Drosophila melanogaster: one gene and its partner. The protein of the gene in region 1 interacts with the protein of each later gene in a pairwise test. Each region holds a gene or a part of one and is shown on either strand. Other genes may lie near its edges.

What was found.
Region 2: the proteins of CG5376 (region 1) and Tm1 interact in a two-hybrid assay, tested with the Drosophila melanogaster proteins (2 studies listed by BioGRID).

The regions. Positions count from the first base shown.
Region 1 is NT_033777.3:22,487,314-22,490,916, forward strand, and holds CG5376 (uncharacterized protein), read right to left. Parts: upstream 1,643-3,603; 5' UTR 1,570-1,642; coding exon 1,372-1,569; intron 1,321-1,371; coding exon 898-1,320; intron 838-897; coding exon 769-837; 3' UTR 720-768; downstream 1-719. Other genes in the region: Pfdn5 (prefoldin 5), read left to right, coding at 1-79, 197-406, 468-665; CCT1 (chaperonin containing TCP1 subunit 1), read right to left, coding at 1,990-2,545, 2,609-3,499, 3,555-3,603.
Region 2 is NT_033777.3:15,279,405-15,284,574, forward strand, and holds the start of Tm1 (tropomyosin 1), read left to right. Parts: upstream 1-2,145; 5' UTR 2,146-2,199; exon of another isoform or gene 2,200-2,453; intron 2,454-5,170. UniProt on the Drosophila melanogaster protein: Tropomyosin, in association with the troponin complex, plays a central role in the calcium dependent regulation of muscle contraction.

The DNA of each region.
Region 1 (3,603 bases):
ACCCGCCAAGTCCGAGATGATCGACCTGACCAAGTTGAGTCCGGAACAGCTGATTCAGATCAAGCAGGAGTTCGAGCAGGTGCGTTCCGCATGTGGGTGTGTGATGAGTCAAGTGTGCTCGCGGAGGGGGTTTCTGGAGGAGGGGCGCCCCAATTGGCACATGCTTCTAAAATCGGTACATTTTTGTGATCCTTAGGAGATTACCAACGTACAGGACTCGCTGTCGACGCTTCACGGCTGTCAAGCCAAGTACGCCGGATCCAAGGAGGCGCTGGGAACCTTTCAACCCAATTGGGAGAACCGTCAGATCCTGGTGCCCCTGACCAGCAGTATGTATGTGCCAGGACGGGTCAAGGATCTCAACAGGTTCGTCATAGACATCGGCACCGGCTACTACATTGAAAAGGTGATTTACATTTCCAATCGAACCTAGAATATTTATTGATTGCCATCTGTTTCTCAAACAGGATCTGGAAGGCTCCAAAGACTACTTCAAGCGACGCGTGGAGTACGTGCAGGAGCAGATCGAGAAAATCGAAAAGATCCACCTGCAAAAGACGCGCTTCTATAACTCAGTGATGAGTGTGCTGGAGATGAAGCAGGCTGCTGCAGCGAAATTGCAGTCGCAGCAGCAATCGCAGCCGGCGGTTACCCAGAGCTCCTAGACTACGGAGAACGACAGAGACACGAGACACGGAAAGCATTAAATTATTAAACTTATTAACGAGATGTGTGCATTTAATTAACGTAGTTTATTAAATTGTTCAGCTATTTCTTGGCTTCTGCCAAAGCCTTGGTGAGAACCTTGACCTTCTGCTCGTACGCGGACTTAAGATCCTGTAGGGAAAGAAGGTAATAGTATATCAAGTATATCATTGGACTCGAGTTATAAGGCACCTTGAATATCTGTGACTGGGTGTCGTACTCCGAACGCAGCTTGTCATACACTCCTTTGGAGATGGCTAGTTTCTTCTCCGTGAGCACACACTTGTCTTGCTCCGCCTTGATCCACTGCTGGCTCTTCTCCAGACGAGCCTGCGTGTGATCACATTCGGCGGTCTTTAGCTGCAACATGTCCTTGGTCACCTGCAGCACATCCTTAATCGAGTCTACTTGTGTCCTAAGCACTGATATCTGCTGCTCCTGCTGTTTGTTCACCTTGGTCTTCTCGAACAGCAGGGTTTTGGCCTTTAGAAGCAGCTCCTCCTGCTCTTGTCGTGATTTGGGAGCATCTGTGCCGCCCAGCATGACGGACTGCTTGAGCGACTGCTCCAACTGGACCACTCTCCGCTTTAAACGCTCATTTTCCGCCTTGGCTTCCTGCAATCAGGGTCAGTAAGTGGGTGCAGCCCGTGGAGACGAGTAACTAACCTCAAAGTCTTTGCGGAGCGCTCCGATCCGTTTGCGAGACTCCTCTAGTAGTGCCTGTTTTTCGCTTTCCAACGTGAAAACCATGTCCAGCAGTTCGTTCTGCGGCTGCTCCGGCTGACGCACTTCCTCCTGCCCATTTGCTGTTATATTGTTGTTTAGGTCACCGCCAACAGCTTCATCTTCGTTATGATCGGCCATTTTATGAAGAATTCTTTTTAAATGATAAAAATTCGTAGAGCAATGTGCGTTTTCCGTGCTTTTTGGGATGTGTTTTCTTTTTGTATTAATAGACCAAATAGATGCACGCTCTATTTATAGGACATCCCACTCTCCGGATCGCTCTCTGCCTGCTCTTGGCCAGATCGCTCTCCCGAAATAACAAACTGTTTCCCTCCAATTTAGTTTACGCCTCAGCATATTCTGAAGATCAGTTTATTATACATTGAAGCATGGATGAGAAAGGATTGCGGATGTGCGGTGTTAATACAGATCGCGAAGGGCAACACAATTAAATTGTTGTTACAATCAATGGGGCGACAATTGAAAGTGAGTGATTTGATTAAAATTAAATGCCTAAACAAGATAGAAGAAATGTGCTTCGCTCGCGGTGAAGAATGTCTAACCGTCCAGCTCGCCGGCAGCGCATGCATCGGCGTAACTCTTGCCGCTCTTGTCCTCCGGATTCAGCTTGATCATGTCGTCAATACGCAAAATGGTAATGGCGGCCTCCGTGGCGAACTTCAGCGACTTGATCTTGGACATGGCGGGCTCCAAAACTCCAGCCTTCTTGTTGTCCCTTACCACTCCCTCGATCAGATCCAGACCGGTCCACTTAAGATCCGAACGCTCGGGCTTCGTCTGGCTGGAGTTGTGGTAGGAGCGGAGCTTGGCCACTAGATCAGTGGCATCCTTGGCCGCGTTCACGGACAGAGTCTTGGGAATGACCAGCAGCGACTTTGCGAATTCGGCAATGGCCAGCTGTTCGCGGGAAGCCAGCGAGGTGGCAAAGTTCTCCAGGTAGATCGACAAAGCAGCCTCCACACAGCCGCCGCCGGCTACAACCTTCTTGCTCTCCAGCACACGCTTCACCACGCACAGAGCGTCGTGGACGGAGCGCTCCATCTCATCACAGTAGAAGTCATTGGGACCACGCAAGATAATGGATGCGGCAGCACTAAAAAGGCATAGGGATACGATAAAGCAAACTATGTTACTGCATGATATAATCTGCACTTACCGTGCCTTAGTGCCCTTGATGAGGATAAGTTCATCATCGCAGATGCGCTCCTGGGCCACCTCTGCGGCCTCTCCCACCATTGAGGCATCGAAGCTCTCCTCACCGTCCATGTTGGTCAGCGAGGTAATAAAGGCGGCGCCGGTAGCCTTAGCAATGATCTTCAGATCGCTCTTCTTCACACGACGCACAGCCATGGCTCCAGCCTCAACGAAGTACTTCATGCACAAATCATCAACGCCGCCGCTAACCAGTACTACATTGACACCGGTTCCGAGGATCATGTTGATGCGCTCCTTGGTAATGTCCAGCTCACGGGCACGAATAGCCTCCAGCTTGTCGGGATCATTGATCAAGACCTGGACACCCATCTTCATCTTGGTCTTCTGCAGCGAGAAGTCTAGGCAGGCAATCTTGGCGTTCACAATCTTCTTGGGCATCTGCTGGGAGGCAATTGTGCAGTTCAAGGCATAGCCGGGAATCAGCACCGATTCCCTGGCAGACTTGCCATGGGCCTTCAGGACATTGATGGCTTTAATCGAATAGGCTGCCTGCCCACGGGGATCTGTGATTTTCACCGACTGGGCAGCGTCCACAACCATGGCTGAGAAGAACTCTGCGTCAGCACCAATGATCTTGGAGCTCATCGAGGTCTTGGCAATGTTAATCAGGGAATCGCGGCCCAGCTCATCAACGGGAGCGGTCAGATGCTCCGAGATGTACTTGCAGGCCTCCTTGCAGGCAATGCGGTAGCCGGAGATTATGGAGGTAGGATGAATCTTCTGCTTGACCAGCTCGTCGGCGTTTTTCAGCAGCTCAGCGGCCAGGATAACCACCGAGGTAGTGCCATCGCCGACCTCCTCGTCCTGCAGCTGAGCCAGCTCAACCAGGACCCTTAAAATTTAGAAATGAGTACTTCTTTGAAAGATTTCCCACATCAACAACTCACTTGGCTGCCGGGTGCTCCACCTCCAGCAGTCGCAGAATGGTGGCTCCAT
Region 2 (5,170 bases), 7.2 Mb from region 1:
TACGCACAGTCTTTTAGTTGAGTGATTTGCCCAATGGGAAATAATATCATTACAATTAAAAGACCAAGGTTTTCATTTAGTATTGAACCTGATGAGCCTACAATGAGCTACATACCTAAGAAGTAAAACTTCTCCAACAACCCGTCACAAATAACTAAAATATATTTTTTATATAAAGCCAATTTCTGCCCGTGTAAACCAAACCCAGTCGTCTATGCCCCTCAGCCCGGATTAAACTTTTCCATACTATTTTCGCCAAATATGGTCGCGATTTTTCTAACAAGATTGCGCACTTGTCTGAGCCAAGCTGAGTGCTACACACTCATGAACTTATTTAATTCGCGTATATTTTGGAATTATGAAAACTTTGGTTTTCCATAACTAACACATGTCAACGGGTCGGATTCGATGGCCATGATTTCGTTTTCGTATTTAGCAAGTTGCTCAGACTGTTTTGCTATTTTACAATGTTTTTCGACGTTTTCTCAAGGGTCTTTTCCATGTCTATGTCTTCTTTGTTTTTTTTTTTCTTTGTCTTTATAAATATATTGATCTAGTTTTCTTGCTTCGAAAACTTTTTGTTTTTAATGAATACAATTACGTCATTTTGTGGGTGTTGTTTGAGTTAATTTTAAAATTTTCATCAACCTCGGACTGGCAAATGTTCTCCAAGATAAGAGAACAACAAAAAATGGAATAAGTAAATACATATATGTATATATGTTGGGGCTATCAAATTGGCTTATATTTATAGGTTTATATTTAAAGACTTTAGTTGCATTCGAACATATAAGATCTCCAACAATTTTGTTGGCGATAAGATTAAAAGGGCGTGATCAACGAGTAAGCAAGCAATCTAGAAGGGCAAATATGCATATCACCAGATCGGAAACTCAACGATTATGGGGAAACTGAATTTCAACCGTTTTCACGTTTGCAATTTAAAAAAGCATGAATCATGGATGCATTTTCTTGCGAGACAGTTACAAAAAAACGTATACTTTCATATGTGACATTTATGATTGCCAGCAAAATGTTTTCCGTTCGCAGACATGACGTTGAAAAATCTATAGAAAGAGCTTTAATATATAGAGCAGAAAATAATAATCTGTAGACCTATGGGGGAAATACGTACGTATAACTACGTGAAACAAGATTTTTTGGCATATCAATAACTGAAAATTAAAAATAGAAGTTGAGAACATCAAAAAGCAAAACAAAACGATCCCCAAACCAATACACTCTCATCGGGAAAAGAGACACGATTGCCTAAGTATTGGATATATTTTGCAATGGGCAAAAACACTGGGTGAAAAGAGCTTTTCAAAATACGGGGAAATATTCAAAAATAGGCTGAAAGAAAGGCATTCGATTCGAAATGAGTGAGCATTACCCATACATGTGCAGCGAACAGGTGAAAGCACCAAGGAAAGGATCGGAAAAGAGAGGCAGAGAGAAAGCGGAGAGAGAGCGCAGGCGCCGGGCTTGAATGTGTGTGTATAAATTGTAACTGTATTTGAAATTCTGATCTTATGCTTTCCGTTACACTGGCAGAAATCGGATAGGAACATAAATTAAATATATTACGGGCTGAGGGGTAAAGAAATGTTGTACAGCTTTCTTAACTGGCATAGCCCATTTCACTTTGGAGTATTTTCTGAATGAAAAAAACATTTAATATAATTTATAAATGAATTTCAAAATTCAAATTTGTAATAACAAAAGTAGCATGAGTAAATGATGATAAATGATAAGTGCGACATAAATTTATAAATACATTAAATCAAAAGTGCATATTAAATGTCCTGATATTAGAAAGCATGCATGATTACATTAAATATGAGTATATAAATAAGAACAAATGCACCCCTTTGTTGATTTCGCGCAGTGTATAAGCTATTGTACCCCGGCCGAGCAATTTACCGATGCTCTTGGGGTAAATTGAGAGCCAAGTGCAGTTCCAAAGTAGGCGCAGACAGCAACAACATATGCTCGCTTTTGGCCGAAAAGTGCGCACTCTCGCACACAGATACTCACGCACACAGGCGCACTAGCGCGGCGGCTCACACGCACACACACCAGCGCAAGCCGCTCGAAATCGACCAAGCGGCGAGCATCGAACGTCAACATATTGAATAAATATTTTCAGTTGAACATCACAATCCGTTCAAGTCGCGGATAACTCCGAATAAAAGTTTTGTAAGTAAAAAGGAATACGTTATCGTTGATCAGTAAAAAATTATACAAAAAAAAATACAAAGATATCGCTGAATATTTCCACAAAAATACTTGTCGAGTGCTTCAAAAATAATTTTAACTGTGCTAGAATTCGATTCTTATTTAAAAAAAAGGATCGAACCAAAAAGTATAATTACATAACCACAACGTTGCTGCAATATCTAACTTAAAATCCACCAAAGTGCTGTGCAATTCTCAACCCTAATCATCCGCAAGTATTGAAAAAAATTGAAAATTTTCCCAGTTAGAATCGAAATAAACCCAAATAGAGGTTAAGCACCTTTGCAGATCGCGAAAAAAAAACTAAGAATAACGATTCTGGGGACCTTGTCAAGTTTGTCTGCTAACCGCAAGTTGCTATATAGGGTTTCAGCTAAACGTATTTCATGAGATATATAAACATGGTCAGTGGGAACTTCGAACGATCTTAGATTTTAGCGGCAGAAGTAAAGAATTAAGGCAAAAGGAGGATTATCGAGCTCTCTTTCCTCCTTTCAGAAACTAAAATTGTCATGTTGTATATGAGAAAGTAAGGGAATCATTCTTAAGATAAAGATCAATGAGATAGACTTCAAGATAGCTATCCTTGCTATGGAATGGTTTCCTGAATTATAATTTTCTTTAATCCAAAATGTTTAGGAATTCATTGAGCCTATTTTCCAAGTAACTGGGCAACACGCGCATTTACTTTGCAGTTTTGTATCTTTGAAATCTGATCCACGACCGCTGGCCCTAGCTGCCAAATGAATCTGAAGCGAACGTAGGCGAAATGCGCCAAGAATTTCCCAGAAAGCTCCCTTCCTCTCAGCTTAGTATTAAGTAATATCCGTGGAGAGGCTAGATATTCAACAGATGCCTCGGCTGTCCTATTTTTAGATACAATCCGTGTGTGCTACAGATACTAAACAGTGAAATAGAGAGCAGGAAAGCTGCTAGAGTATCGCCCAAGGCATTTGGCTAAAGAATCTATATGCATTAGACCCATTTGAACCAACGTGTGTATATATCGTACTCTAAGAATAGAAAATTCTGTATTCTGTATGATTAAATTCCGAATTTTCCATGCGATAATTTGTAAATTTTGTGTGGAAAGGTAGATCTTATAAGGTCGGATACAGATGGAAAATATCTGTAACTTGTAAACTAGGCAGAAAAGTAGGAATTGCGAGGTGCCAGTTCATAAGGATGGCTTGTTAGTTGGCCATAGTTAGTTAGATATAAAAAATGAGTTATACATATACGCATTTTGTTTCCTGAAATATTAACTTTGTTCCTAATGATAACGTCATTTCTTGATAAGGATGATCTTAATACTCATAAACCTCTTTGGTGTAGGCCCATTTTTCGATTATATATATGTCATTGCCGAAAGTTATAAGATGTCATGGGAATTTTGTGCTGAATCAACGCAAACATAACTCAATGTGTCACCTTAATCGACTTATGGCCCATACACATGCAGATTTATATATATATATATATGTATATCTGTGTGTTTTTTAAGCGAACAAAAAATTTGCCTCGATTGCGTTTTCATTAAAATTCAACGTTTTTTTTTTTTGGCTTTGGCTTTATTCGATTGGCGCTTTTTTCTCCAATGCCACTTCTCTTCGGCGGATCAGGCACAGGAATGTAAACAGAGTTTTTAAAAATAAATGCATGTTTAAGGCAGAACCACACAACAAATGACAGCGATGAGCCGTAATAAAGAATTAAAATTTCACGCGGCGAAATTCGAGTCAATTAGCCGCCGGCTGCACTCGGTTCGAGCCATGACAAATGTTGGTCAAGTGGGTTTCGTGTTGGCCAGGAAAGGCAAAGGGGGTGTCAATGGGCACCAAGGAGGGGCCAAAAAACCCACCAGCTGCGTTCACATTGAGTCAGAAGTCTGGAGCTGCTCGAGAAAAGGGGCAATAGCCCAGTGCAGCTGAGTGATTCATCTTGGGTTTTTAATTCGAGGATGGTAGCTACAGCATCTGCACTTTACTGATAAGAATGCAATTCCAAGATAAAGCGCACATTTGTAAATATAAATTGATTTGAGTAAACATATATGGCACCTAAGAGTATGCAATGATATATGTTAGTTAAAAAAATATATTAAATGAGCTTACTATCATTTCAAATCCTCATTCTACTTTCGAAGATTTAGAAGACTTTATCTATGCAGCAATTTCTTGGCCCAGATTGGAATCTACTGACACAATTTTGGCTGGTGACAGAACTCTCTATTCGAGAATGTACCCAGTTCGTCCAGCTTCGTTTGGCTCCACACCACGCGATCCGATGTGATCTGCATAAATAAACACCCTGCTTTCGGTGTTTCGAAGTATATCCCAGAAAATAAGGTTCAATTTTAGGTATTCTCGTTTAAATGATTTACTGTGACGAGATGAGAAAACACTCTCAAAGTTCAGAACATCAGCGAAAGAATCGGACAATAAAAGTCGTGAAGAGACGCCGTCGAAATATTAAATTCTCAATTTATCAGTTGGCTAAGCTCGAACAATGCGACTGACTGGCATCGAAAAGGGGGCCTTGGTTGTTTCGGTTTTGGCCAGGCCGAATAATTTATTGACTCTGCCACCTTTCGTCCAAAAATGGCTATCCATTATTGCAAAAAACTCGCTGTGTAGCTTGAAATGGAAGAAAGATCTGCCAGTTATTTTGATAACATGCAGATAAGATGGGAGCTTTAAAGTTATGAATTTAAATACATATATGTGCAGAAATCAGATTGCAGGATCCTCATGTAAATACACAAGTTATAAAATTGCTAAATTAATCATAAAATGCAAATGCATTTTCCATATAGTTTCACTTTCGCACAAGCCATGTTTGGACTTGAATACTACTCCCCTTGCACTTGCTGATTATCGCATAAATCTGCTAATTGCTTTATTGGCTTGCACTTAACCATGGTTTTAGCCGC